Linked DNA regions of Cricetulus griseus. The protein of the gene in region 3 binds, or shares a complex with, the protein of the main gene of each other region. Links are inferred from orthologs where the notes say so. Each region holds a gene or a part of one and is shown on either strand. Other genes may lie near its edges.

The links.
Region 1: the proteins of Snap25 (region 3) and Vamp3 are in contact, whole or in part, in a crystal structure (PDB 5KJ8), measured with the Rattus norvegicus proteins. The link is inferred for Cricetulus griseus from reciprocal best matches to the Homo sapiens genes SNAP25 and VAMP3. Residues at the interface, in NP_112253.1 of Rattus norvegicus: Asp147, Leu150, Glu151, Val153, Ser154, Ile157, Leu160, Arg161, Ala164, Leu165, Met167, Gly168, Ile171, Asp172, Gln174, Asn175, Ile178, Asp179, Ile181, Met182, Ala185, Asp186, Asn188, Lys189, Ile192, Ala195, Asn196, Ala199, Thr200, Met202; in NP_476438.1 of Rattus norvegicus: Ser15, Arg18, Leu19, Gln21, Thr22, Gln25, Val26, Glu28, Val29, Ile32, Met33, Asn36, Lys39, Val40, Glu42, Arg43, Lys46, Leu47, Glu49, Leu50, Arg53, Ala56, Leu57, Gly60, Ala61, Gln63, Phe64, Ser67, Leu71, Lys74.
Region 2: the proteins of Snap25 (region 3) and Napa are in contact, whole or in part, in a cryo-EM structure (PDB 6MDM), measured with the Rattus norvegicus proteins. The link is inferred for Cricetulus griseus from reciprocal best matches to the Homo sapiens genes SNAP25 and NAPA. Residues at the interface, in NP_112253.1 of Rattus norvegicus: Glu37, Lys40, Asp41, Ile44, Arg45, Leu47, Asp51, Glu52, Glu55, Gln56, Arg59, Glu62, Gln152, Asn159, Met163, Asp166, Glu170, Thr173; in NP_542152.1 of Rattus norvegicus: Lys122, Glu155, Glu156, Ser157, Asn158, Ser159, Ser160, Asn162, Pro196, Leu197, Leu198, Tyr200, Ser201, Lys203, Asp204, Ala234, Phe235, Ser236, Arg239, Ser268, Ile269, Ser270.
Region 4: the proteins of Snap25 (region 3) and Vamp2 are in contact, whole or in part, in a crystal structure (PDB 1SFC), measured with the Rattus norvegicus proteins. The link is inferred for Cricetulus griseus from reciprocal best matches to the Homo sapiens genes SNAP25 and VAMP2. Residues at the interface, in NP_112253.1 of Rattus norvegicus: Gly131, Gly132, Phe133, Ile134, Arg135, Arg136, Asn139, Leu150, Glu151, Ser154, Ile157, Gly158, Leu160, Arg161, Ala164, Leu165, Met167, Gly168, Ile171, Asp172, Gln174, Asn175, Ile178, Asp179, Ile181, Met182, Ala185, Asp186, Asn188, Lys189; in NP_036795.1 of Rattus norvegicus: Asn25, Thr27, Ser28, Asn29, Arg30, Arg31, Leu32, Thr35, Gln38, Val39, Glu41, Val42, Ile45, Met46, Asn49, Lys52, Val53, Glu55, Arg56, Lys59, Leu60, Glu62, Leu63, Arg66, Ala69, Leu70, Gly73, Ala74, Gln76, Phe77.
Region 5: the proteins of Snap25 (region 3) and Syt1 are in contact, whole or in part, in a crystal structure (PDB 5KJ8), measured with the Rattus norvegicus proteins. The link is inferred for Cricetulus griseus from reciprocal best matches to the Homo sapiens genes SNAP25 and SYT1. Residues at the interface, in NP_112253.1 of Rattus norvegicus: Lys40, Asp41, Ile44, Leu47, Val48, Asp51, Glu52, Glu55, Gln56, Arg59; in NP_001028852.2 of Rattus norvegicus: Cys277, Arg281, Lys288, Val292, Leu294, Glu295, Asn336, Tyr338, Asn340, Arg398, Arg399, Pro400, Ala402, Trp404.

What each region holds. Positions count from the first base shown.
Region 1 is NC_048595.1:5,345,768-5,351,589, reverse strand, and holds the start of Vamp3 (vesicle-associated membrane protein 3), read right to left. Parts: upstream 3,909-5,822; 5' UTR 3,716-3,908; coding exon 3,714-3,715; intron 1,851-3,713; coding exon 1,766-1,850; intron 1-1,765. UniProt on the Homo sapiens protein: SNARE involved in vesicular transport from the late endosomes to the trans-Golgi network.
Region 2 is NC_048602.1:10,771,276-10,776,455, reverse strand, and holds part of Napa (alpha-soluble NSF attachment protein), read right to left. Parts: intron 5,019-5,180; coding exon 4,939-5,018; intron 3,378-4,938; coding exon 3,261-3,377; intron 1-3,260. UniProt on the Homo sapiens protein: Required for vesicular transport between the endoplasmic reticulum and the Golgi apparatus. Together with GNA12 promotes CDH5 localization to plasma membrane.
Region 3 is NC_048599.1:41,889,320-41,894,499, reverse strand, and holds part of Snap25 (synaptosomal-associated protein 25), read left to right. Parts: intron 1-1,881; coding exon 1,882-1,999; intron 2,000-2,178; coding exon of another isoform or gene 2,179-2,296; intron 2,297-5,180.
Region 4 is NC_048600.1:82,959,281-82,965,252, reverse strand, and holds the start of Vamp2 (vesicle-associated membrane protein 2), read right to left. Parts: upstream 3,582-5,972; 5' UTR 3,439-3,581; coding exon 3,437-3,438; intron 2,937-3,436; coding exon 2,816-2,936; intron 2,364-2,815; coding exon 2,205-2,363; intron 2,114-2,204; coding exon 2,062-2,113; intron 1,450-2,061; coding exon 1,433-1,449; 3' UTR 599-1,432; coding exon of another isoform or gene 588-598; 3' UTR 1-587. UniProt on the Homo sapiens protein: Involved in the targeting and/or fusion of transport vesicles to their target membrane. Major SNARE protein of synaptic vesicles which mediates fusion of synaptic vesicles to release neurotransmitters.
Region 5 is NW_023276806.1:146,593,433-146,598,612, forward strand, and holds part of Syt1 (synaptotagmin-1), read left to right. Parts: intron 1-3,679; coding exon 3,680-3,864; intron 3,865-5,180. UniProt on the Homo sapiens protein: Calcium sensor that participates in triggering neurotransmitter release at the synapse. May have a regulatory role in the membrane interactions during trafficking of synaptic vesicles at the active zone of the synapse.

The DNA.
Region 1 (5,822 bases), on a different chromosome or scaffold from region 3:
CAGGATACTTACAGCAGAGAGGTAAGAACAGCTCAACTGCCCACTCACTATGACTGGATAACAAATCATGGCTTATACAGATCATGAACCCTGTAAGAATGAAGTAGGGAACTGGGGGATGGTTCAGCAGTTCTCTTACAGAGAACCTGGGTCTGGGGCCCAGAACAGACACAGCAGCTGACAACCCTCTGCAGTGCCAGTTTCAAGGTTTTGATGCCCTCTTCTGGCGTCTGCAGGCACTGCACACACATAGTTTACAAAACACTCACACAGATGAAATAATAATACATCCTAAAAAAAAAAAAAAAAAAAAAAAAGTTCCTACCCCTGCCTTTGGTTCTGGGGTGGTGTTTGGCACTGGGCTGCAGCAGTCATGGTGACCTTACTTCAGCTTGTACATTACCACTAGGTTCCTATACTTGTCCCTGTGGGATTTTTCTTGGGATGCTATCTAGACAGAAGGGATGACGAAAAGCTAATGCCTTCTGGAGTAAGAGTATGAGCTTTCAAAGGGAACTGAGGCCCAGTGAAGAAGCTACTTAGAAGTAAAGCCTGTGGCTAAATCACAGGATATTCACATTTTTAAAGTTACTGGAGAAATAAAAACATTTGTTATTTAAAAAACAGAACATAGGCTTTATGCTCCCCAGGGAGGGTGAGGCCTTCCATAGGGGGTCTTTAGAGTCTGTCATATCCTTTGGGACAGGGCCTAGGACCTCTCCAGTGTGTCTAGGCTCAAGGAGTATCCCTCTATGTGGAATGGGCTCCCAAAGTCCATTCCTATACTAGGGATAAGTACTGATCTAGGGTGTTAGTGGGGGGGGGGGGCAGGGGAGAGGGGAAGGAAAGGGAACTGGGAGTGACATATAAAATAATCTTGTTTCTAATTTAAATAAAAAAATGGAGAAAAAAAAGAGAACACAGGAATATCAGTTGAAGGTTCTGACAGTCTTCACTGTGTTTCTACATGTGCACACCCAAACAAAAGATGCCAGAAGAGTCCTCTAGGTCAAGAATCCAGAGAGAACTACTGGGCTACAGAAGTTCCACTTTCTATGTGTCCTTCAGCAACTGCTAGAGAAAGCTCTACGGAGACTTGCCCATACTAGGTAACTAGTAAACCTGGCTACAGAACACAGACACAGACACATATCCCACCCGATCAGAAAGACTTGTTCCTGGCTTAAACAATCTGATTACCCTATCTTACGAAGTGGCTCTGGGGCTCTGGGGACATGCTTTCAGGGACAGGTTCACATGTTTTAGGTATGTGATTTGATAATAGAAAAGTGAAACCAGGAAGAGTTTGCCTTGTGCTTAAAACACAGCTTCTAGAACATGCAATCAAAACACTCATTCATATAAAAAAAAAGCTTAAAAAAAAGAATATGAAAAAAATATGGAAAACTGATCTGAATTTCTCACAGAATCTTCACTGAAGTCCTCTAAACACACAATTAGAAAGACTTCTGATGTAGTCAAAATTATACTCACACATTGATGTTTTTTCTTTTTCTAACATTAAAAATTGTTAAGGGTTTGTGTGTGCGCACGCACAGATGCACACAGGTGCCTTTGGAGGCCAGAGTTAAAGGCAGTTGAATGGCCCAAGTATGTACTTGGAACCCAAACTGGAGCCTCTGCTAGAACAGAAAGTGTTCTAACCACTGAGTCATCTCTCCAGCTCCAGTGGCTTTTTCTGATAGAATCCCACAGAATACCCGGGTTTGTTTAAATTCCACAGTTTAGAATTTTAGAGCAGTACCTCATCGACTTGATTTTGTGTCTGCTGGAGTCTTCGATTACTGCCAGCAGCAGCACTTGAACTTCCTGAAGGCACACCTGTGGACCTGAAAGATGTAAGGCACAAACATGAGTCTATTATGATATCCAATGCACTTACATAAGCCAGACTTGGTAAGGCAAATATGTAACCCCAGTGCTCCTTCAGTGAGAGGAGACATGACAGTTTTGGGCACTTGAGGGCCAGCTAGCCTGACACACACAGTACTGAACAAGAGACACTGTCTCAAATAAGGTGAGAGGCAAGGATCTCTGAAACTGTCCTCGAACATATACCATGGTGTGTGTGTGTGTATGTGTGTGTGTATAACCTGTTCACGCTGGGACTTGGACTTACTAATTCCTTATACTGAAATTAAAAAACAAAAGTAAAAACAGTCCTGCAGTAAGAAATAAAGGCACCAATGCAGTTTTTTTATGATCCCTCAATAATTCCCAAGACTGTTCCAGTGACCAAACTTTGAAACTTTTGTTGTGTCAATGAAGTGCATGATCCCAAGACTGGATAATACCTCTACTTTCTCTCTCTCTCTCTCTCTCTCTCTCTCTCTCTCTCTCTCTCTCTCTCTCTCTCTCTCTCTCTCTCTCTCTCTCTCTCTCTCTCTCTCTCTCTTTCAGCTTGCTTTAGGGCCTGCAGAGATGACTCAGAGGTTAAGCACACTGGCTGTCCTTCCAGAGGACCTGAGTTCAATTCCCAGCCACCACAAGGCAGCTCACAACCATCTGTAGTGAGATCTGGTGCCCTCTTGTGGCCTGCAGGGGCACATGCAGGTAACTGTATTTATGTAATAAAAACAAAACCCAAAAAACCAAAAACCTCTTAAAAGACACACAAACGTTTAAGGGCACTCAGTATTCTTCTGATCCTTTTGTTGTGGCAAGAACTGTCTTATAGTTGGAAACAATCACAAAATAGCCAAAATGGAGATGTAGAGCCCAAGTGCATGGTGGGGTGTGTGTGAATGGAAAGGCGGGCTGAAAGCAATTCTCTCTCTGCTGGAAAGCCATTCATCCTCCACAGGCTCACCGAATGCTTTATTCACCCATGCCCACTTTCCGTAACGACTCACTCTTCCCTGTATCTAAGCCAGCACCTAAGGTGTGCCTCGCCACACGACAGTCTGCACCGTGTCTGTCAGCAGGACGCGACACTTCTCACGGCTGTCTGGCTTCTCTCTGAGTCCGAACACCCCCTTGAAGAGGGCACTATTACCTTCACCTCGGTAACATTCAGAACCAGCACGCAGCCAGCCGGCTGGGGTGTAGCCAGGTGCAGCTTAATTCTCTGACCGGCTCTGGGGCCCTGCCATTCGCACAGCAGTCCGACCGGGTGCATCTTAAGCGGTGTCACCAGAGTCCTGCGAACGTCACCACTAGACACCAACTTCAAAACAACAGAGTTCCTTGCTTAAGGCGGAAGCGAAACCCACGGCCGAGCTCCGCGGGGGGCGCGGCAGCGCTTCCGCGGACACCGCCTGGGCCTGGGCACGGCGCGGCGCCGACAGAGACCGGGAGAGCGAGCGGGCGAGCCGGCGGGCGAGCGCCCAGGGCCGCCCCCGCCCCTCTCGGGGACCTCGGGGAAGGAAGCTCGGGGCGTGGCGGACGCTTCCTCTGGAAGCCGGTGCCCCACCCTCGCCCTTCCGCGTCGGCCCGCCAGCCGCGGAGCACTCGGGGACGTCGCGGCAGGACGCCTGGGCCCGCAGCGCCCGAGGGCAGAGCGCGGCGCCCGAGGGCAGAGCGCGGCGCGGGGCCGCCGCCCACCTCAGGCCCAGGGCGCTGCGCGCAGGCCCGCGAGGCCTCCACCCGAGTGCGAGTCCCGAGCGGCCGCGTCCCGGGCGGGACCCTCGTCAGACGTGGCGGCCGCCGCCCCCCGGAGCCCGCCTGGCCGCGCGGCGCAGCGCGTCACTCACATTTTGGCGGCGGCGGCGGCGGCGGCGGTGGAGACTGGCGGAGACCGGCGGAGACGGCGGAGACCGGCGGAGACCGGCGGCGGACTGGGGCAGCCGGCGGCCGAGGCCGTGGAGATGGGCGGGGCCGCGGTGACGTCACGAGCAGGGGCCGGGCAGGAACCGACGAGGAGCCCGCCGCCGCGGAGGGCGCGCCGGAAGTGGGCGGGGCAGGAGTCAGGCCCCAGGCGCCGCGCTCTGGCCGTCTCCTCCCTGGCCCACCCGAGTGGGCGGGGCCAGAGCTGGGCGCGGCAGCAGCGCCGGTGCTGGATTGGGCGGGCGTTCTCGATGGACAAGTGGGCGGGGCCAGGGCGCGGCGCCTGCGCCTTTGGACCGGCTCCTCGCCGCCCGGGCGTCGCAGCAGCAGCAGCAGCAGCAGCAGCTTCGTCGGTGTCGGGTGTCGCGGCCGCTGCCCTGTCTCTACCCTGGAAAGGCAGGTTAGAGTAAGAACCGGTGCGCTGCACAGCCCTCTGGGCCTGCTTACGTCGTCTCTGGGTGGTGACGACATTAGAAACGGCGTGCGTGCTAACGCCCCAGAGTAGCCTAGTGGTCCTGGGGACACAACCCAAGTGCCTCCGCCAGGAAGGTAAGTAAGGGGCGGGAGGAAGCCCGTTTGGAGCCCCCACCCCCGTGTTCTCACTAGCGGTGACAGGTGTCTGCCGTTGCACGGATACCACCATCCCTGAAGGGATCCTTGACGTTGAGAACTCTCTTGGTTTCTGTAACTCTCTGGCCCCGGACTTTTGGTCGAATGAGGTGAGTAGTATCCGCTACAATGCAATCCAACATGCTTAAGCAGACCAGATGAGGGCAGCTGGTGGGTTCCTAAGTGAAAACCCCCAAGCTGTCTTCCACTCCAGGATGGTAATTCCAGAAAGTTAACGTGTGCTGGAAAGCAGAGCGTGCCACCTGAGTGGGTATTGGGTTGAGTGGTAGCTGGGGCCGGGGGGTGGGGGGCGCGTTCTAGGTTAAGTGGAGGTGCAGCACAGAACTAGAGAATGTGGGGCTGGGCTCAAGTACAACAAGAGTGAAGACAGGCAAGACAAAGGCATTTAAATGCAGCGGGCTCCAGAAAGTACCAGGGACTCCTCTTGGGAGACTCAGTGTGAAAACGTCTGGCACTAGTTCTGAGGTACATCTAGTGAGGCACTCCTAGAGAGACGAGCAGAACTCTGCAGAGAAGAGGACCGGAATAATGATAAAGTACCTAGAAGGGAGACCTAAGTGAGCTAAGCCGGAAAAGGGCTTAAAACAAAAAAAAACGAAAAACAACTACTCGGTAGAGCTGAGGAGTATAGCCTAGTTGGTATTGGGCTTGTCCCACATGAAAGTCCTGGGTTTGATCCCCAGAACCACATAAAACCCAGCCTGAGGTGTATCTCGGCGAGTTCCCTGCCAGCCTGGTCTACAGATTGAGTTTCAGAACAGCCAGAGCTGTTACACAGAGAAACCTTGTCTGGAAAGAACAAACTAGCAAACAAACAAACAACCCCAGCCTGTTGGCACCCATAATCTCAGCATTTGGAAGTTGTAGGTAAACGGTCAGAGGTTCAAGGTCATCCTTGAGCTTAAACAGGGAACTTAGGAGTACCCAGGGTACACGAGAAAAGGTGAATTCACAGTAAGATCCTTACTTATCTTTCAAGTAACTGCACTTAAGACAAATGATTGATGTGTTGAGAAACCAGGCAGTGTAGGTGGAAAGCATGTCCTTTGGGAAAGTGGCTCTAAGTGAAACACTGGGCAGGAAAACACATCATGTGGAAGGTAAAAAAAAAACAAACAAAACTTCCAGTTCTAACTATGATCTCAACCTCAACACCCTGGATTTCAGGTCAGGTTAAAGCAAAACACAGATAATATGGGGAAATTTTCTTCATTTTTAATTTACAGCAGAAAGAATATAAAGCATTCAGAAAACATTTTCCATATTTTAAGGGCAATTCAAAACATTTTGCATGGTTTCCAGCAGCTGAGTTCTTCAACAGATCCATTGAGTCAATGATGCTTTACATGCACAGTTACAAAAATAAAACTTACAAAAAAAGAAGACATCTAGACTAGTTTTACATG
Region 2 (5,180 bases), on a different chromosome or scaffold from region 3:
AGCCATACTTCCAGCTTTCCAGTGGGATCAGGGCACAATGGCATCGCCAGACTCCCCCAGAGTTTGAATCAGACTACCACAGCCCTGCTGTCAAAGGGCAAACTGATGGATGGCCAGGCTGAACTGGGCAGAGGCTACCAAGCCCACCATCTGTCCTGGAGGCTCTACCTTGAGTAGGTCCTATCCTTGTGACTGCCCTGCCTGGCCTCTCTGGCAGAGAAGGATGGATGCCACGAGCACTAGGGCCCCTCCATGGGGGCTCTGCATCCCCAGTGCTGAAGAGCACTGTCCTTTCCTCAATGCCCTCAACCACACAGCAGGGACCCTGCTGGCTGCTCAAATAACAAGCTGTATCCAACACTAGGATGGCACCAGGCTACCTTTGTTGTACCATCTCTTCCAAGATTTTAAATTTGGGGAAGGCTTTTTTTTTGGACAAGTTATTTGGAGGAGAGAGGCGTGAGTGGGAGGCATTTTCTAGCAGATGGAAACGAGCTCTCAGTATCTTTTAACTACTTTAATGTATCTCAGGATGGGGGTTGGGGGAGGCACGGGGTTGAGGGTCCAGGTGGGCCAGAGGGCTTGTGCTGGGAAGGCTCCAGGACTGCCCCCGGGCTGAGAGTGGACTGGACTCTCTTGGGATGAGGATGCTAAGGCTACTTCTTGAGGAGACTTCGGTAGCCAAGGTCTGTTGGCATAGGCTCTATTGGTGGGACAGTCCCTGCCACGGCAGTGGGGGAGAAACATGGATTCACAGGGCCTAGTCCTCTTATGCTGGCCCCTTGCTCTGGGAACAGCTTGGAAAGTAGTAGGCTGCCAGCTGACACCCGGGCCTGCTCTTACCACAGGGCTTATCTGATGCCACAGGCCTCAGTGAAACCTTGAAGGTAAATAGTAGGGCCCTTGGTCTATTCCCACCCTCTTGTGCTCAGCCTGTCCAGAGCAGGTAGGGAGTTACAGAGCCCGGCTCACCTCCGCATCACCCTGAAGCCCCTGATCACATGCAGATCTAAGCAAGCACCGTCCACAACAAACTAGGGACAAACCACGAGCTCCAATGAGGCGGTGGGGATAGGTAGATAGGAAGCCAGACTGCTTCCCTGCCCGTGCACATTCACAGCTCATTTAGAGCTCCTGCTCTAAAAGGGTCACATTCCCAGGCCTCAGGCAAGCAGCTCAGGCGAGATTCCTAAAGAGCTGATGGACCAGACCCCAGGGCAGGGGATCTCACAGCTAGCTAAGGGAGGTCCTTCCTGAAGAAACTGGGGGTTCAAGCCTCCACTGGTCATCCAGTTGTTTCCCAGGGCACCCAGCCATGCAGGGAGGCTCTGGTGCCAGGGGCTGCCCCCTTCTGGATGCCAGGAATGAATTGCTGTGTACAGCTCACAGTAGGTGTGTGCTATCACTGAAGAGAGAACACAGCAGAGTGACGGCTAGGCTGAAGTGTAGTGGGGCAGCACAAGTCCCCACTGGGTTCCTTGGAGGAGGGGGAGTGATCTGCTCAGACCACCTGGGCATGTCCTCCCCTGCTTGGTCACTCTTCTCTGTGAGCCCTGACTGGCCCCGCAGAAGAGCTGTCAACCGTGCAAATGCACCCCCTTCCCCTCATATGTGGAACTGTGACTGGGCAGGGCAGCAAGGCAGCAGCGCTGGATGCCACGTGGCTGAGTCCCTAGCCCTTAACACCAGAAGCGCTCCCCTCACAACTGTGCTTTCCCCGTGAGGCAAGTCGGCCCCTCTCTACCTTCACTCACACCCTTGGCTGCAGCACCCTCAATACTTTCCCATCAGCTTGGACTTGCTGAGGCCGGGGCCCATGCCTGGGTCCCGAGAGAAAAAGGACATGACCACAAGCTGGGAGGGGCAGCTATGGCATCCTGCAGGTTGGCATCCACTGCCACCTAGGAACAAGTCCTCCCGGCCATTCCGGCTGGAGCAGCAGCTGAAGGGCACAGATGCCAGGCAGCATCTCCAGGCCAACCAGTTCCCCAGGGAGCAGAAGGGAAAGTGTGGGGACGGCTCTGTGGGGGAGAGGACTGCCCTGAGTCACTGGGTGTATCTAAGTCCTGGCTGAAAGGCCATCCGTCCCTCTCTGTTTGTCAGGCCTGAGCCACACATCATAGCTAAACAAACAGGAGTGACCAGTCAGCCCAGGGACAGAGTCACCACAGTCATCTCTCTAATTGGGAGTGGTCCTGTGACAATGACGGCTGACATCCACTGATGCTGGGGAGGACCGAGGTGCTTGTCTTCTCTTCTCCTCAGAGGTGGGCTTTCACCCAGACCCCAAGCCTCTCCTTTGGGAAAGAACAGTCACTTCTTTCCCACTCTCCTGAGAGAAACAGCCTGGATACTTTAAAGATTTATTTATGAGACACAGTCTCATGTAACCCAGGCTGGCCTCAAACTCACTATGTAGCCAAGAGCTAAGGATAGCTGAGTGTCTGATCTTCCTGTCCCTACTTCCCAAACTCTGGGACGACAGGCAGGCACTGCCATGACTAGCTTAGATGGCCAATTAAACAAACAAACAAACAAACAAACAAATACCTGTGCGTGCTGAAATTTAAAGTTAGTCATCTATGTAGCTCTAAGATTTTCAAAAAGAACCATTTTCAAAAAGAACCAAAAAGAACTGGGGACATGTACAACACATTTGCAGCACACAGAGGTCCAGGCTCCATTCCCAGCACCACAAAAATAAGTGAACAAAAATACCAAAAGCAAATTCCTCAGCCTGGAAATCTCAAGTCTGAGGTCCATGGGCTGTGCTTTGGCCTAACCAGGCTCCTATGTCATAGGCTCTGCTTTAAGGAACTGGGCTCTGGCAGCTCACTCCAGGCTTGCTCTCTCTGCTTCCTTCTGGTGTGCTGGGAAGGCAGGTCAGGCTGACTTCCGCTCTACCTGGTTCATCTGGGACTGCCCCCCTCCCTGCTCCCTGCTTCCTTCTGCATGCTAATTCTGACAACTGAACAGCTTTGCCTGGCTCCCTGGCAAGGAGTGGGCCTGAGATGGAACTCCCACTACCAAATGCTCGAAGCCCAGGAGGGGGTGAGGGCTGCACACCAGGGTGGGGGTGGGGGGTGGGGAGAGAGGGCAGGATGCCAATGTCAGCCAAGGACCAGCCAATTCTGAATTTGGGGCTTGTTTTGCTCCTGGCCTATCATGTGTCAACTACTGGAAAAACCCAGCTCTGTATAGACCCAAGGATGTGGGGACAGTGCTCAGCTGCTCTGCCAGCTGTGGCTCACAGAGGTTACCTTGTGGGTCGGCTTTCTTGAAAGCGTTGCCTGCGTCCACGAAGCAGGTAGCTGCATCATGCTTGCTCTGGAGCTGTAGGTGCAGCTGGGCAGCCTGGCAGAAAGCGTTCCCGGCAGCTGGAATAGAACAGATCGTCCCAGCTTCAATGCAGTTGCAGTCACTGCCCAGAGAGGCACATTAGGCTCACAATTAGAATACAGGTAGAGGCCAAGATCAGCCCACTCCAGCCCAAAAGCAGCCTGAACCCCTCACAGAGCTTCCTGGTGGTATGCACCTGGTAGAGTGAGGACGTCAGGAAGCAGCCTCGGGGGAAGCCTGAGCCCAGGGGCACAGAAACAGCCAGGTAAACACAGTGCCAAACCCATGTCCCCCCCCCCTCTGCCGGCACCTCCAGAGCCACCACTTCCACAGAGAGGAAGGAAAGACAGACAGAGAGCTGAGGGCTGCAAATACATGAGACATGACACCCAGGCTCTTGGGCTCTTTGAACAGGGAAGCCCAGAACCTGAACTAAAGGTGGGGATGGGGCGATTGGGGGGGGGGGAAGGGATGTGCTCTGGGAAGGCACAGGTGAGATCAACCCATGTGACACTTCCCACTTGCTCCCTTTCCTAGCCCATTTCTGTCCTCCACAACTCCCCAAAGCTCTCAGGTGCACCCCTGCTATGTCTGAGTCCTTGCTAGAAAGGGAAACAGGACGAGGACAGCAAGAGCCAGAGTCCGCGCAGACAGTGCTAATGCCCGAGGCAGCCATGGGCTCCACACCATTTTGCTCAGACCTCCCCTAGACTGGCTAAGGGGAGGCAGCAGGGTTTTCCCTGCTGTGGGTGGTGCTCCAATACCACCTCAGCTAAGGCACTACTTTGCATGCTCCTCCAGTCCCAGCTGAGTGGGAGCCTCCAAGCTATGGGAGGTCCCACCTGTCCACTCTCCTGAGCACAGCAGGACACACAAAGCCTGCAAAGGCTTTGCTCCACAGTTATCTGATGATTGTGATCACCTTGTGGGCCTAGGGACAAATGCCAGGCTAACCCTGTCAGATCATCAGTAACAGTAGCAGTAGTCATCATTGTTACAGTAGTGTTTTGGTTTTCTGAGGAAGGCTCTTTTTTATTGCAGAATGATCTCAAATTTCCAATGTAGCCTAGGAGGGACTTGAATCCTGACCCTCCTACCCCACCATCAGGAGTGCTGGGATACCAATGCTAGACTTCCATATTATTTCTAAGAACTCCAAATAGTTTGAGCAGGGGACAGACTTCTGTTTTGAACATGGGGAGGGACAGAAAAGCAACCTGTGGTTAAATAACCATCCCTGGAGTGCTGGACTTTGGGAACTGCACTCACAGGATGTGGCAATAACTGAGTCTACCTTGAAACTCTGCACCCCCCCCCCCAATGTCCAGAAAGCTCCTCCCTGAGCTCCAAAACTGTACCTTGCCAACAGTGGAAGCCATACTCTGAGATCAGGTGATGGGCTGCCCCAACAGATCTCATCTGGGGGCCTGGTAGGTGCCCTCCCTGCCTCCTTCCCTCACAAAGACCGTACCTCCCTATACATATACCCCCAACTTAGGGGGCAAAGCATCCCACTGGCCTCATGCTGTGGATCCCTGATGCTGGAGAGGGGACTTCAGGGCACACTCTGGGCCTGGCCTGTGGGCTGGGGGCACGCACCGCTCCAGTTCTTGGCCATCTTGAACATGTTCGCCGCTCTGGCATACATCTCACACGCTTCTTCTATTTTGGATGAGCCCCTGGGAAGGAGAGGGAAGAGGTAAAGAGGCCATCCAGTCTGCTATCAGAACGCAAACCCACACTCTGCCCTGCCAACAGGCAGTGTGCGGTGGAAGGCGGCTAGTCCCATCCTGAAGCAAGGTGTGTAGTGGTGGTGGTGTTAGTGGTGGCATGAACTCCTT
Region 3 (5,180 bases):
AAAGGTTTCAATAAAACACTGTGTCCTTTCCATTCCACCCTAGTCCTCTCACTCAGGTATTACATTTGATTCACCAACTGGTTTATTACGTTCTTAAAAGGAAACTGGAGTTAGGTCATTAGTTTAAAAAAAAATCAAGCTTGGCATGGTTGTTCTTACAATCGTGGACTTAGGATGCTGGGATCCATAGGAAAATCCTGTGTCAAAAAGTCAAACAAGCCAGGAAGAGAAGAAGGCAGCAGAATGGAAAGTTCCCTCAAATATGAGGAAGACGGGAGGAAAGTCTTCTTGCATGTAAAGATTTCCAGGACATTCCTGTCTCTGTGCACTCAACAGAAGAATGGCACCACTGTCTCTCCATGCTGAATAAACACTGCAGTGTTTCTATCAGTTTCTGAAAAACATAGCAGAAGCAGCAGAGACCTAATCAGTGACCATTTCTTCTTTAGTCCTGCCAAAGAGAGCAAACATAATCTTTTATTATCCAGATTTGTGCTTTCCCTACTTGAGTCACTGGTGAGCCTCGTTTAGATCTTACAGTGACAGTTTTCACATCATACACTTATGTGAAATGGTTTTCAGGTGATTGTGTAGGCCTTTAGGCTAGAAATGTGCTCATGAGTTTTACCCTAGGCATGTATGCCTTTACTTCTAGAGGCACAATCATCAATGCATGCATGAAAATACAGACAAAAGGAGGAGCAGGATGTAACTGGGCATTATAATTAGACAGCCAAGACATCATATTACACTTCTCCTTTAATGGTCTTAAAAGCTACTTGACAAATCCCCTTCATTAAACTTGCAGTTACCCTAACTTGATGACACATTTGAGAAATTAGTCAATTTGGTTTATGTAACCCTGGCAACCAAGAACTGATTCATTTTTATGAGTATCGAGCTGTGTTTCAGATGCACTAAACTCATCTTTCCTTGTAGCAATGGCTCAGTGCCATTCTGTGTGCCAATTCACTGCCCCTCCTCCAAAGAGACACACGTTCTCCTTGTTCAATGACCAGGTTAGTAGTTGGCAGGTCCACACCATAGACACTAGGCAGCCAGAGCAGAAGAATAAAATGTCTTTCCCAGCTTTTGCAGCAAGTCACTCACAGGGTAAGAAATGAATTGAAATGTTTTGGTACTTACAGTATTGTTGTTCTGATGTTGCCTTCTTTTCCAGCCTCTATGAATTAAATAAGGAAAACCAAGAACACACCTTTGGCTACTTCTAGCTGTACAGCCACTGCCGAGGGAAGAGCAGAAACTCATAACCATGTCTATTCCTGCTTACGGTTCTGTTGTTTGCCACCAAGAAGAAAACACACTCTATTTTCTCCTTTTATCTGGTTGGGGGCACATAACAGTCAAAAGATACAGATATTTTGAAATTGGAGCAGATAATCTTTCTCAAAGTGTTGAATGGGAGCACCTTAGCTATAAATTAACACCCTGTTTTTCTTTCTCTTGGGTTTCACTGGTGTCTTAGTCAATACACTGCAACTTCCCTGGATATACAAAATCAAACAGACTTTCTGATCTCATCCCATCATGTCTGAACTGCAAACTATTTTGAGCATTGTTCTTGTTCATTTCCTTCCACCCATGTCTATTTAGGACAGCAGCAGCCGTCTACAGCAATGCATCCTCTTGGGCAATGCATTGTAATCTCAATCTCTCTCTCTCTCTCTCTCTCTCTCTCTCTCTCTCTCTCTCTCTCTCTCTGTCTCTCTCTCTGTCTCTCTCTCTGTCTCTCTCTCTCCTTCTCCCCCTCTCTCCCTCTCTCTCTTTCTCTCTAATTCTGTTTCACATAGTCATTTCTCATGTTCTGTTGGAAACCCCAAAAAAATTCATTCCACACTATCATCCCTTTGTCCTAACCAGAACAACTCGATCGTGTCGAAGAAGGCATGAACCATATCAACCAAGACATGAAGGAGGCTGAGAAAAATTTAAAAGATTTAGGGAAATGCTGTGGCCTTTTCATATGTCCTTGTAACAAGTAGGTACTGGGTACCAGCTCTAATCTGTGGCGTCCAGTTTTCTTTCTTTCTTTCTTTTTCTTTTCTTTTTTGTTTTTCTTTTTAATGTCAAAGTGAATGTCTGAAGTTTTGTCTTTTTTTTCTTTGTCCTTTTCCATCTGCTTCATTCTGTGGGGATAAAATACTTGTGTTTAATCAGAACAACTGGAACGCATTGAGGAAGGGATGGACCAAATCAATAAGGACATGAAAGAAGCAGAAAAGAATTTGACGGACCTAGGAAAATTCTGCGGGCTTTGTGTGTGTCCCTGTAACAAGTAGGTGCTGCCTGCCTGCCTGAAGCTTTGGTTTTCCCAAGGCTCATCTCCAAGCCTTGACTAGCTCATTCCTGCAGGCTCATAGGCAGGATGAGCATGTGGCATGCAGAACAGATCAATACCGTCTCCAATGCATTCATCTCATAGCATAGATAATACTAGTGGGAATTACTGTTGATGCATTAAAAATCAGGCATACTACAGTGGAAGCCTCACTGTCGGCAATTTTTATTGATGAACGTTTCAACATTTTCCAGAAAGTGTACTTTGAGACAGAGGCACTTGGGGCACATTGTTTTCCTCAATCCCACAATGAAAATTGTAGATTTAGACAAGTCTTTTGGTAAGTGTGGAGGATTAGAAATGCATGTATCAAGGTTTCATTTTTTTTCCTTTCTCGGAAGTAAAAGAGACAGGCTAATTTGGCCCAGGTAAGCCTCTGCAAGTCAGAGCATGTGGCAGATTCCCTCTTGACTGCTCACCAGCTTCAGCACTTGGTCACGAGGTGCTATAGCCTCACCCAGTGCAAAGGCATCCTCATCTGTAAGAAGCAGCAGTCCCATCCTAAATTGGACCCATCTCCTCTAACTCTTCCTCTTGGAAGATCTGCCCGTACACTGGCTGAAATGTTGAAATGTGTAGATTTTGCATGCACGACATCTCCAAACATTTAACTGTTCTCAAGGTTCTGCAACGCTTTTTTGGAATGTAGCAGAAATGTGACATGTGGTTACAAAGATTTGCAACAGAAAGAACCCAAAAACTCAAGGGTTCTAGAAGATAGTCTCATTTGGCTGGCTAGCAGTGGGGGGAAAATGCATGAGTGGATTGCCCAACATGCATTTGGAAAATTAAACTCATTACCTGATCTCCCTCACCCTTCCCCCTTTCCCTTTTAAAAGAAGCCTTTTACCCAAAAGCTCTCCTGATCCTAGCTTTTAGAATAGAAATTGATGTCATTTTGAGTAGATTATGTGACCATTCACATCCTTTAAACTTTGAGGCTGATTTGAAATATCCCACTTCCTGTTTAGGAGGGGGAGGGGCTCATGGTACTAATAAATAAAAACCAAGTTAAAAAAAATCAAAAAGAGTGCTCTACGGTAAAGCCTGGCTAACTGGAATCCAGCTAACTGGAACCCTCAGCTGCAAAACACTTTTGCCCCCTTTCTGTTTTTAGCCAAAGAAAAGTGGGACGGGGAAGGGAGGGCAGTCAGAGCAGGTTTGAAATGTCTTGTTTTCCAGGACATCTAGCTCATTTGCAGTGTCTCAAGCAGTCTCTATTCTACTATCTCTACCTATGGAGAAATAAATAAGTGGTAAATTAGAGCTGGTTTGAAAAGGCCATCAGATATATCAATATAAGGCATAACTGTAGGAGGACTGGATTGTGCCCATACCCAAAGACTCTGAACAGAAAATTTGCTTAAGAATTTGAGAAAGATATTTACTAGTTACCCTTGAAACATAATTTTCCTCCAGAGTCTACTGTTCACTGGTAAAACCATAAAATTCTCCAAACTCTCACTCATGGGCAAGTATTCCAGTTAGTCAAGATTTGACTGTAAGCCCTTTTCAGAGCCAACTTACCCCACATTTGGAGCAAATGGCAACAGATGCACCTCCCACCCCCTCCATCAATTGTGTGTGAAGAAAGGGTGAAGGCAGGGCTCCTTGAGGTGGATCCTCAGGTTCTGAAGAAGTATGACCCCTACTAAATCCATGTATAAGTGGTCCCCAATTCCTTAATTCTAAAGAGACCCTAATTGAGCTTCAAAGCTTGAGTGAAGTGTTCCCTGATGTGTGTAAATAATGCTTTAAAAACCATGTGTCACAACGCAGTGGCTGGTGGTGCCCTGGACTCTCCGGGGGCTTTGCCCTGTCTCGGCATGTTTCGAAGGACTATGGTAGATGTACGGCCGTGATGTGAGTGTGTGCAGCGTTGTGGGTGCAGTGGTTTGCCTTCTCTTTGGAAACGCATATTTCCCTTTCCTTTGACTTTGCCAAAGATGGTATACCAGACATTTTACATAGCAGAAAACATCACAAAGTCCAAACAGCTTCTTATAACCAAAAAGAGAGAGAATGGGGAGGTGGGGTGGAGAGACCAACTCTCTTAACTATGAAAATTTGTGTTCTGGCCTTGTACCATTCATGGAGTGGGCCCATGCCCTGTGATGCAGTAAGTTGTGACAGTAAATTGTGGGAGCTGTTGAAATTCATTGGTGCATTTCCCAGTTTGTCACCATGGTTTCCTTGTCTCAGTCTACAAGGATTAAAGCCAGTTTAAAAGATGGCTTTGGCCCTCTAGTGAGAGAAAGAAGCGGGGGAAGGGATTAAATCTTGGTGTCTTAGAATAAAAACTGTGAAATGGAACCAAAGGATGTATGTTGTTCTTGGACTCAATAGCATGTGGTTTCTACTATGCAAAGAACCTAGAAACATCTTTGATTGCCTTAAATTACAACACACCCACCAAAATATGCTCTATATGTTTCTATTGGGCACAACAGGTATGCCTGGATTTTAAGTTTTGTTCCAAGGCAGGTCAGTGAAATGTAGCCCATGGAGACCACACTAGTTCCAAACCACTCTCCTCTGTCATAACCCAGGATAGTTTAAAGTAGGAATCTGTATGCACACCACCCTGCCCTTTGGCCCAACCAAGAAGCTAATGAACTGCGTTTCAAATCGTCACGAAGGCTATTACTGTCCTGCTAGTGCCTATTTCGAGAATGGTCAACTTCTGGAGTAGTTTGGCTTAAATGAGAATGCTTCACTTTCTACTCATGCCTGTAGCTGGTGCATGAAGAAGACACAGGGTGGTGGGGGTTCTCTTTGATGCTAGATGGCTTGTTCTCTCTTCTATTTTCCTGCATTCATT
Region 4 (5,972 bases), on a different chromosome or scaffold from region 3:
ACCCTCAGACCCCTAAAACTGTGCCATTTAAAAAGATCAGATCCTTCCTCTGTCATTTCACCCAAAAAGGGAATAGCTTGCACTCTCTCTCTCTCTCTCCCCCTCTCTCTCTGGGCTCAACAGCCCTGGAGAAAGGCCAGGATCCCCATCATCCAGCAAGTCCCATACACATATTGGCAGTGACTAATACCCCCGCCCTGAATACAGGGGGGCAGTCAAAGGAGCTGGGCAGTGATGGGGGCAACACCCCTCCCCAGATTGGGGAGGAAAGTTTTCAGTCCGACCTCTAGCAAGATGAGGCCAGAGGTTTCAGGCAGGAATTGGGGGGATTCTATTTTGTCCTACTCCTCCCCAAGGCAGTGATGACACACACACACTGGAGCCACCCCTCCTCAAAGAATCAGATTGTGGTCAATCCCCAATTCTCCTGGTGGGAGGAGGAGGCAAATCAGGCAGATGGGAGGGAGGGAGACCCCCTGGGAATGTCAGTTGAGTGCCCCACATGAAAACTGGGGAGCAGGAATGTAGGGAGAGACTCCGAGTGGCAGAATTATTGGTCCATCATGACACACTGAACTCCAAGACACTTACACACCGGCTGGGGGGAGGGAGAGGAGGGTACAACAGGTTTGGAAAATGGGGTAAAGGAGGTAAACTAGACTAGAGGGGCTGGGAGGGGGCAATTCTGGGGCCCAGAGCCTGGTTCCCCAAAAGCCCAGGCTCCCCACCACCTGCAGGTAATGTCGTGCAAATGAAGTGTGATTAGAGGACCAATGGAGACTAACTCTTCAGAAAAGAAAGGAAAAACAGAAGAGTAAAGAGTGGTGGAACAGAAAGGAAACTAAAAGGACATTATGCAAGTGATAAGCTAATTAATATATTGGAAGCTCCCAGAAAACCTTGGGATTCTGGGATTCTTAGGACCAAGTGGGACCAGTCTCAGAGCTTTCCAAGGGATTCAAAGATGCAACCTAGGGAAGCCTGGACAGGTAGGAGTGTTTGTTTGTTTCTGTGGAGTTTGCTTTTTGTCTTGGGAGGGTCAGGAATTGTTTAGGGAAGCTAGGGGAAGGGTCAGTTAAATCCAAGGGAAGAAAAGGGGCTATTGCATAGCAGATGCAAATGAAGGGACTTAGGGCTATCAGGAGAAGAGGAAAAGGGACAGAGGATGAGAGAGAGAGAGGTGAGGGGAACCTCAGGAAGGGGTGTTAAGGACAACCGGAAAAAATCTTCTAGTAATAAAACTACAAACAGACCAAATATATATAATATTATATATGTATAAATAACAGCTGGCTATTTACAGGGGGCACACACACGGACACACACACACACGGATCCAAGGGAGGGGGGCTGAAAGATATGGCTGAGAGGTGGAGGAACGGCTGGGGGTGGGAGAGAGGCCCTTCTTAGGCAGGGCAGACTCCTCAGGGATTTAAGTGCTGAAGTAAACTGTGGAGAGAGGGTAAGAGGAGGACGAGGGAGAGGGGTAGAAAGAGAAAGAAAGCAGCGTGTCAGGCCTGGCCCTGTTCCAAACCTCCCCACTCCCCCACTGTCTGACATCCCTTCCCCTCTCTGTCTCATTTCTTCATCTATATAGCAAAGGGACTTGATAAGTGGGTATTAAGATCCTGTAAACTCCATGATAGGACAAAGGGGCACAAAACTTTTAATCTACTGGGCATGTGACTACAAATGCTCAAATAGTGAAATAGTTGGTTTCCTGGTGGTGTCCGAGCCCCTCAACCCTTACTGTCTCCTGCTCCCCAGTTCTAGTAGCCCAGACTGGGCTCTGAGGCCCAAATGGTTCTTAGTAGAGTGCCGGGGGTCCCACCCAGTATTCCTATTTTCAAAATCTTAACAGAAATTATCCAGAACTAGGCAAAGTAAGGCTAGACAAGAGCCAAGTGCTTTGGCTCTTGATGAATCAGAATTGCCAATAGCAGCAAAATGTGTTTTTGTTGAAGAGTAAAAACTAGGTTAATGACCTTCAAAACCCAGAATCCACAGGGAAAGCCTCTACCTCTCCCGGGAAAGGGCCCTGGCCACTCCTGCCCCACTCACCGATGATGATGATGAGGATGATGGCGCAAATCACTCCCAAGATTATCATCATCTAGGAGTGAGAGGGAGGGTCCATGAGACCAATGGTGACACCCCAGTCACCCACTGGCCCTCCTACCTGTCCCCATCTCCGTCCCCCTTACCTTGAGGTTTTTCCACCAATATTTGCGCTTGAGCTTGGCTGCACTTGTTTCAAACTGGGAGGCCCCTGCCTGGAGGGCATCTGCACGATCATCCAGCTCGGACAGCTTCTGGTCCCGCTCCAGGACCTTGTCCACATTCACCCTCATGATGTCCACCACCTGGGGGAGGGGTCCACGAGGCAGGGGGTGTGCCAAGGCACGCCTCAAGGAGGGCACTTCTTGAACACGTGCCCATGTGCCACACATGGAACATGCACCCCGATGTTTCCAGGCTAACATGCCAAGGACATACAAAGAACATGCCTAGCACACCTGGGGACATGCAAGGAGCACACATCAGGGGCATGCTGCAGCCATACACCTCAGCTACCACAGCAACACCCTCATCTTTGACCAGAGCGCACCTGCCCCAGCTGGCACACCCCAAGCTAGCACAACTGATTATCACCCCACAGCCCTTCCAAGTGCATGCTGACAGGGAAACGGAGCTGGGACAAGGCAGGGCTCTGACCCAAAACCCACAAGCGTGAAAACTGTCATCACCTTCAAGCCAAGATGGGCTCCCACACCTATTTGCCAGTCCCATCATCTTACACTTTTGACACACTCACCTCATCCACCTGGGCCTGGGTCTGCTGCAGTCTCCTGTTACTGGTAAGATTTGGAGGGGGTGCAGGGGGGCCACCCTCGCCGGCCGGGGCGGCAGGCGGGACGGTGGCAGCGGTAGCCGACCTACGGAGGAGAAACGGATTAAGATTCAGGGCCTTTGGGCCCTGCGGCCGGGGCTCCACCCATCCACCTGTCCATCCATAGTCCCTCCAGTCCTCCCTTGCGGGAGGAAAGCCACCCGATGGGAAACCCAGCCATTCTACGGCCCCGCTGCGGTTGAGCTGCGTGACCTTGAGAGACCCTCCTTATGCCTCAATTTCCCCGCCGGTTAAAGGAAAGCGACCTCAGAGATGCTGCCCGGGGTCGACCCGAAATGACTGACAGCCATGGTGGCTGGGGCGGGGCGGGTAGACGCTGGGTCCGCTCCCTCCTGCGGCCATCGCCCGTGCCAGACCGCCCGGGACCGGTTCCGGGCGTCCAAGCGCAGTCACGGACACCAGCCCGGTCCGCGGCACGAGAGGCGCGGGCGGGACCCCCGTGTTTCCCGGCCCACTCCTCGGGGTGGCGGCCCGCGCGGGGCAGAAGGTAGAGGGTGGCGAGTGGCGGGCGGGCGGCCGACTTACATGGCGGGGGCAGCGGGCAGAGACTTGGCAGAGGCAGTGATGGCGGCGGCGGCGGCGGCGGCGGCGGCGCGCGGCGGCTCGCACTGGCTCCGACTGGCGCTGGCTGCCCGGGACTGGAAGATGGCGGCCGCACGTCACCCGCATCCGGGCACTGCGGCGGGGGCGGGGCGCGGCAGGCGACACGTCGCTAGCGGACCGCGGGGCGGGGCGCTGCAGGGGCTGGGGTCGTCTAGTCGGCTCTGTCGACCCTACGATGTGGGCCTGGCCCGCAAGCCCACCGCCATCCCCCAAGGCATCTGCCACCTGCCTCTTTTGGTACCCACAACCGAGACCCACACCTCACCCCTAAACTACACCCTCCCTCATCCCTGAAGCTGATACACCGGTCCTTACCTCACACAGCCTAAGGTCTCGCCCTACAACTGGTCCCAACACCTGGTGACCCGCCCTTAGCTCCTGGAAAGGGTGGATTTCCCTCAGAGTGGAAAATGAGAAGCGGCCAGGGCAATACTGACAACTGGAATCCTGACGCTGGGGTTGGGGAGTTGTGAGAACTGACCTCACCCATCATCATCACCCTGCAACTGAATGGCTCAAGGGAGGTCTCGGGCCTCTGATTTCCTAGCAGGGTATGAGCAAAAGGAGTAACAGAAGACAACCCCCCCGACCCCCCCCACACACACGCATACACACACACACACACACACACACACACACACACACACACACATGCACAAACATACACACACTAAGAACTGTGAAAGCTGCCCCTCCTCACAGATAAAGTTCAGACCAGGTGTCCTTGGAGGGGGCCCCACAAAGATGAGACAAACTAAAGACTCCAGGAAGGGCAAAGGCTGCCTGGAGGTGCTGTGCCTCCTGGTAAGCGCAGGCTGGTCCCCGACTGGGGTCAACTGCCCAGCCTTGACAGAACCAACTGAATACATCACACATGTAGACAGTCAATAAATATTTGCTCAATGGCTTGATCTAGACAATAGAATAGGAGATTATCTTAGACCTGGTCCATCCCTGACTGCTCCATTTTAAGTACGCTAAACAGCCACAGCAGCTGCACACACTCCCATCCTACATCTAGAGATAGGACCAGGGAGCCAGCTGTCTATTTAGCAAGCCTCCGGGGTGAAGGAGGCACTTTAGGGGAGGACTAGTGACTCTGAGGTGGGAGTATTTATTACATCCCCAAAAGAGCCTTAATCTCAAAGACAGGCAGGGTCTGGCGTCCTTCCTCCCACTCCAGGGCCTCCGGGGTGTGAGATCCTCCTGTGCTGCAGCAGTGCCCCACCCCCTCTCAGCAGCCGCCCCAGGACCGGTTGTGTCGTGAGAGGTGTTATTTCCCAGCTGTCTGGGGGAGGTGAATGAGCAGGGGAGTGTGTGCTGGGGCCGGATTCGCTCTTGGCTGCCTCCCTCTCCCAGGAGAAGCCATGAGCCTGCTCTTCGTGAGGCTGAGCTGGTGAGAAGAGCCGCTTCGGTGGGGGGGTCTCAGATCAGCCGTGAGGCTCTAGTTTTCTGTCCCTGAGACCCCCTTTCTAATCAGAGAACAAAGATGCCAAATTCCATTATTTCAAGTTTAAATGTTTTAGTGTCTAGATAGGAAACATCCTCGAGAGTGGGAAAAGAGCAACTGTAAGCAGAGCCCCCCACACAGCCCAGCTCTGCCTCGACTGGAAAGGAAACAGTAAGATCTCAGACTCTGGTTTAGGGACGATACTCATGTTGTCTAGCCAATTGCAAAGGGCAGAGGTTATGGAAGAGACAAGAGTCACAGACAAACCTGGGGAGGTTAGGCCTAGTCATATCCCTGGGAAAGTTGTTCTTCCCAGGGGATTCTGGGGACAGCAATAGCAGAGTTAACAGTGGAAAGGACCCAGTAGGACTCAGAGAGAGAACTGTCACTGTACAGCCCAGCCCAGCCCATCTCCACTGCGGTGTTAAGAAATTCTAAATTTAGATCAATGCTGGGGGTGGGAGGAGGCTGCGGTGGAACGACCCGGTTCACCTGGAAATGTGTAGAGAATGTTTTCTGCAAACAGTACGACTGAGACTCAGACTTGAGCCGAAGCACAGGCAGTATTTGGATAACGGAGAGCCTTAATCTCAAAGGGTCTCGTCTACATTTGCCTGCTTCAGGGGATTGACAGTTGAGTTGCTAGGCCCAGTTCTTGAAGCTCTTTTTATGCTTAGTGGTGCATGTTCATAACCCCTGCGCTTGACGGTAAAGTAGGAGAATTCAGAGTTTAAGATGGGTCTGCCAAATGAGATACTGTCTCAAAACAAGCGAAAGACTGGGGCTTGGAGAGATGATGGTTCAGTGGTTAAGCTGCCACGTGGTGGTGGTGGTGGCACATGCCTTTAACCCCAGAATTCCGAAGGCAGATCTCTCTGAGTTCAAGACCAGCCTGCCTCTGCCTCCCAAGTCCTGGGATTAAAGGCATGGACCAACACCGCCTGGCCCAAGGTTTACTCCTAAGAAGCTCCTTCAGGGTTCTGATGTAGGCCATACAGAGGTCACACT
Region 5 (5,180 bases), on a different chromosome or scaffold from region 3:
ACAAAAACCTAAGTTTTAAATCAGTAGAAAGTATGTTTCATGCATAGGGAAGGGATATATTAAAATGGTATCCAAGTATATACAGATTTAAAGTACTAATTCTTTTCAATGTGTTTATGCCAGTTTACTATACCACCCAATATACAGTCACACAGTCAATTACCTCACACAGTCAATAGTCCCAATGGAATTTAACAAATGCACCTAGTAATTTTATTTATTTTATTTAAAAATCTATCAATGCTAATATTTGTGATAAGTCTGAGAAGTAAATATTAGATAACTAAAAAGAAGAAAGAATAACATTCCAAAAATAACACACCTTAGAAACACATAGTGGTGAAATGAGCAGGGCCGTTCCAATGTCCTTAACCTGTTCACAGCTTCCAAGAACCAAGCTGCTCAAAGCACTCAGGGACTTTTTTCTGCCTGCCCAGGACTAACTCAAACTATCATTAAAAGTTTTTCTTTAGCTTAATTCTTATGTATCCTTTTACCTTTAACACAGGAAAAACTAATTCATTAACTAGAAAATTAAAAATAATATCCACAGAGTTTTCATGCTTGTGTATTATTTTTCTGCCGGAAGCCATTGAATTAAATGTTAAAATTCTGATTTGAAATTTCTTTTGTTGGTAGTTGGTAGAGATAAGCAGCCACTGAACACTGTGCCAACAGCAGTGTTTTGATGGAAGTGTATTTATACCAAGGAAATTGCTCCTGGCCACACTTTAGACAATTGTTTATTTGCTTTATTGGATTTTTTCTTTTAAAATGTCCTATTAAAAAGGCCTCAAAACCAAACATGACTTTTTCCTTTGTATCCTTTTTTTAATTTACACAGTTTTAACTGAACAACTTGAAGACATTTAAATTTCTCAGGATATAAATCTGTTGAGTTTTTCTATGTAACATTGAAGTGGTAATGAATAAAATTGTTATAAAGATTAAAAGAAATAATGTGGATAAAGTCATAGCACAGTGGTTGGACCATAATAAGCAGATTTTTTAATAATCCAAAATATGTTCCATGAGATTTGCTCATTATACCAACAATGAACTGAGTGAATTCTGAGGATAGTGTTTCTTAGGTAAACTTGCTAAATTTAAAATATTGCACTTCTCTATTCAATAGTAAAATTTAATGTGAACATTATATTCAAATCCATTTATTAAAAATAGATATACCTTTGCATTAGTATTGCCTCTTCCACGGATGTACAAAATAGCTAGAGTAAGGTTTTTTGTTTTTGTTTTTTTGGCTTTTTTTTGGTTTTTCGAGACAGGGTTTCTCTGTGTAGCTTTGGAGCCTATCCTGGCACACGCTCTGGAGACCAGGCTGGCCTCGAACTCACAGAGATCCACCTGCCTCTGCCTCCCAAGTGCTGGGATTAAAGGCGCACGCCACCAATGCCCGGCTCCTAGAGTAAGGTTTTTTTTCTATGTCTATCTAAAGGTGGTAGGAAATTTGAGGAAAATTCTAGTAATTATATTTCAGTAATTATATATTATATTATTCAATATTATATATGTTAATCTTCACTTAGATCAACTAAAAGCAAATACAGCAGTCAATAATGCCTTATTATAATTAGTAATTATATTATAGATTACAATATTCAAATATTATATGTGCTCAAATTAATCTTCACATTAGATCAACTAAAAGCAAATACAGCAGTCGTTAATGTTGAAGATACGAAGGTTGCATACTGAAACTTTTTCAGTGGTTTGAAATTACCCTCTAGTTGCACTCTTTCAGACTCCTTCCTGTGACCCCATGTTCCTCTCTTTAACTTTTTTTTTGATTAAATAATGTTCCTCTGCTCTTACCAACTATTTTCTTTGTGTGAACTTGTCAAATCATCTCAGTCTTATCTTTTGTAATTTACAAGGCCTTTATGTAGCTCTCTGAGAGACTATCACAAAAGTCCGACTGGGAGAATAATTTATGAGATTTCCAATGAAGGCCCATTATTAACATTGTCTTCCTGCATTCGCAAATGGCCTCCCATTCATGCATGGCAGGATTTTAACTCAGTCGTCAGAGACAGAAGTGTCTGAGTGAAGTCTTACAAATAATATCATTGGTTACATACGCTTGCAGTGGCTTTGGCTTTTTTAAAAAAAGCATGGACTGTTCAAGTAGGTTAAAGAAGACTAGGAAAACATGTCTTAGGATATGTACTCATCTCTACTGTTCACACAAGTATTTCTGTGGCTATAAACATGGTATCAAATGTGGTAAATTTATATGTCCTGGGTTATTATCTAATATTCAATAATATGCAAAGTGAATGTTCTTCACTACAAAGCTAGATGAAGAGAGAGCATGCAAGAGTGGGTTTTCTGTTTTGAAGAGAGGTTAGTTTTAAGTGTTTTTACTTTACCAGAGTACTCCTGACTTGTGTTCAACAATCATTGGCACTAATGATGTTTATGCGGCTCAAGGAAAATTATGCTTTTTCTTACTATTTCAGTGCCCAATGTCTTTTTCTTATTATAACAGATAAATCTAATTACTTCTGATGAATTTGAAGAGCTGTTATTTGAATCATGAATAATTCCATTCCAGACAAAGTTAGAGCTCAGATATGCCCATGAAACCTAGCTTTTTATCAGCCAGTTGGATGCTAAGTAAGGAAATATTTTAGCTCCTAGCAGTTGGACAACTATAATAGAAAACTCCTTGTGTGTATTTTTTGGTATATACTTTGTTACATTAAACAGAGCCTTTAAATCAACCTCTTCTATTATCTAGAACTTATCACTTTCTCCTCTCCATCCCCTGTGTGTTCTCACTGAGCACTGTTCATAGTGTCTATCTTTCTTTTGATATCCCTCTTTGTATATTTCATCTTGCCTAAAGTTTCTTGACATCACTGAATCCTACACCTTGAATATAAAGAAATGATAGCTACCAGTACTTGAGTTCCTACTGTGTGCTGGATGCCATTGTAAGCTATTTTAGTCTGTTGACTTTAATCAGCCAAAGGAAATGGGTGCTACTATATTCTTAACTTGCTAGAGAAGAAATCAGAAGAGATCAGTAAGCAATCAGGGCAGTCACGTAACCTCTACCTAGCCAAGCCCTATACATCTCTCCATGAACTACTCTCAAGGCACCAAATACTCATTCCTTGCCTATGGTTATACTTTTTACATTTGGTTTTTCTGTTTGTGTGATTAACTTCTGCCCCTTCTACCATGCCACAACATATTAAAATAGCAGCTAGTATTTGCTTGATGAATAATTACAGTTGACATGAATTAAGCTTGTATCATGCTGGTCAATGCATCTTAGTACTTAATTCTCACAAGACTCACTAAGGTACTTACCACTTTTACCTCTACTGAACAGATAAAGAAATAGACAAAGAGAGGATTTGCCGAAGATAACAGAGCTAGTAAAGGATGAGACCAGTGTTCGCACTCAGAAAACTGGCTGGAGAGTTATGCTCTGCATAAAGGAAAAAATGAATTAATGGAAAATTAACTTAGTGCGCAAGGGAGAGGTGATATGTGATGTAGACAGAGGTACAACAGTCCAGGCACAGGCCACAGAGGCGATAAAACCCATGGAACAAAGCACGGAGGACATCCAACCATAGGGATGGTTGTCTGCTGCATTGGGTTAACCAGTTCTATTGCTAATGTTCTTTTATCTTTTCTCTTTCAGTGCCACCGTGGGCCTTAATTGCCATAGCCATAGTTGCAGTCCTATTAGTCGTGACCTGCTGCTTTTGTGTCTGTAAGAAATGTTTGTTCAAAAAGAAAAACAAGAAGAAGGGAAAGGAAAAGGGAGGGAAGAATGCCATTAACATGAAAGACGTCAAAGACTTAGGGAAGACCATGAAAGATCAGGTAATGAACACACCCCTTATTTACCTAGTTACAATCTTCAGTTAAGTCACCAGTTAGGGCTCTGTTCTGTTATGCCAGATGCCCATGGAAATGAACAACGTGTGACTACTGTTGCTTTTGTAGAGATGCTTGTTAGTCCTTTCAGTCTCCCAAAGTGTAGTGGGGAGCAGTACAGTGGGATTTTGTCTGTCTCTTGATCACACACACACACACACACACACACACACACACACACACACACACACACACACACGGTAGAACTCTACACTAGCAGGTGTGGCTTCATGGGCTTGGCATAATAAGATAATTCCTGAGTGGGTCATGATCCTAATTAGTCTTAATAATAAAAAACCCAAAGTCAGATATCAAGATAGTGGGGTAAAAGCTGAAATATCAGAGAAGGACCAACCACAATCACCTCTTACAACTCTGATTCCTCAGATCAAAAGGGCAGAGCTTCTGTCTATGCCCCACCTTATCACGTCCTGTCTCAGTCCCGTGTTGTCACATCTGTCTTCTCTCTTATAGACCTCCAGACCTCTATGGTTAACTAGTGGCTAGTTCCACCCTCCAGTCTCCAGGAAAGCTTTATTTGTCAGAGCATAAACAAAATATCGTAACACTTGAGCAATTTTTATTCCATCTCATTAGCTAACCTTGATTGGAATTTAAAAAAAAAAAAAAAACTGTAATACAAGGTACCTGAGTGCTTTCCCTCCTGGACAGGGGCCCTTTCTGACTCATCCACTGCCCATGATCTCTTAAATAGCTTCATCATACTCGGTAATTACCAATATTGCCACACACTCAGCCAGCTTAGCCATCAATTGCCAGAAATAATGAGTTGTGTATGGTGAAGGGAGATAGGATCCAGTCCTAAAGGATAAGACAGAATTGAAGGACAAAATTATATTTTCTCAATTAATGACCATAATTAGAACCATGATGCTGTTGATAAACTATGTACTCAAGGTGTCTTTCTGTGCTTAGAGGAAATATTTTTATTGCCTTGATGTTGCTGCCTATTTTTAACTAAATTAGCTGGACAGCTTAGTCAAGGTAAACTTAATATAAAGTATTAAATGTTTCTTCACTTTTAGAATAATACTTAAATGCTTATAAAGAAAATTTAATGCATGAAAGGGAATGTAAAGATTTTTTCATAGAAATATTTGTAGTTATTATTTCCCATCAGATAATTTAAAAGTTCTATTTATTCCCAAATAGGAACATATGTAGAAAGTTTTTCCAATTGTCTTATATTATTAATTACTATTAACTGAATCATTAACACATGAACCTAAGAACAATTTGAT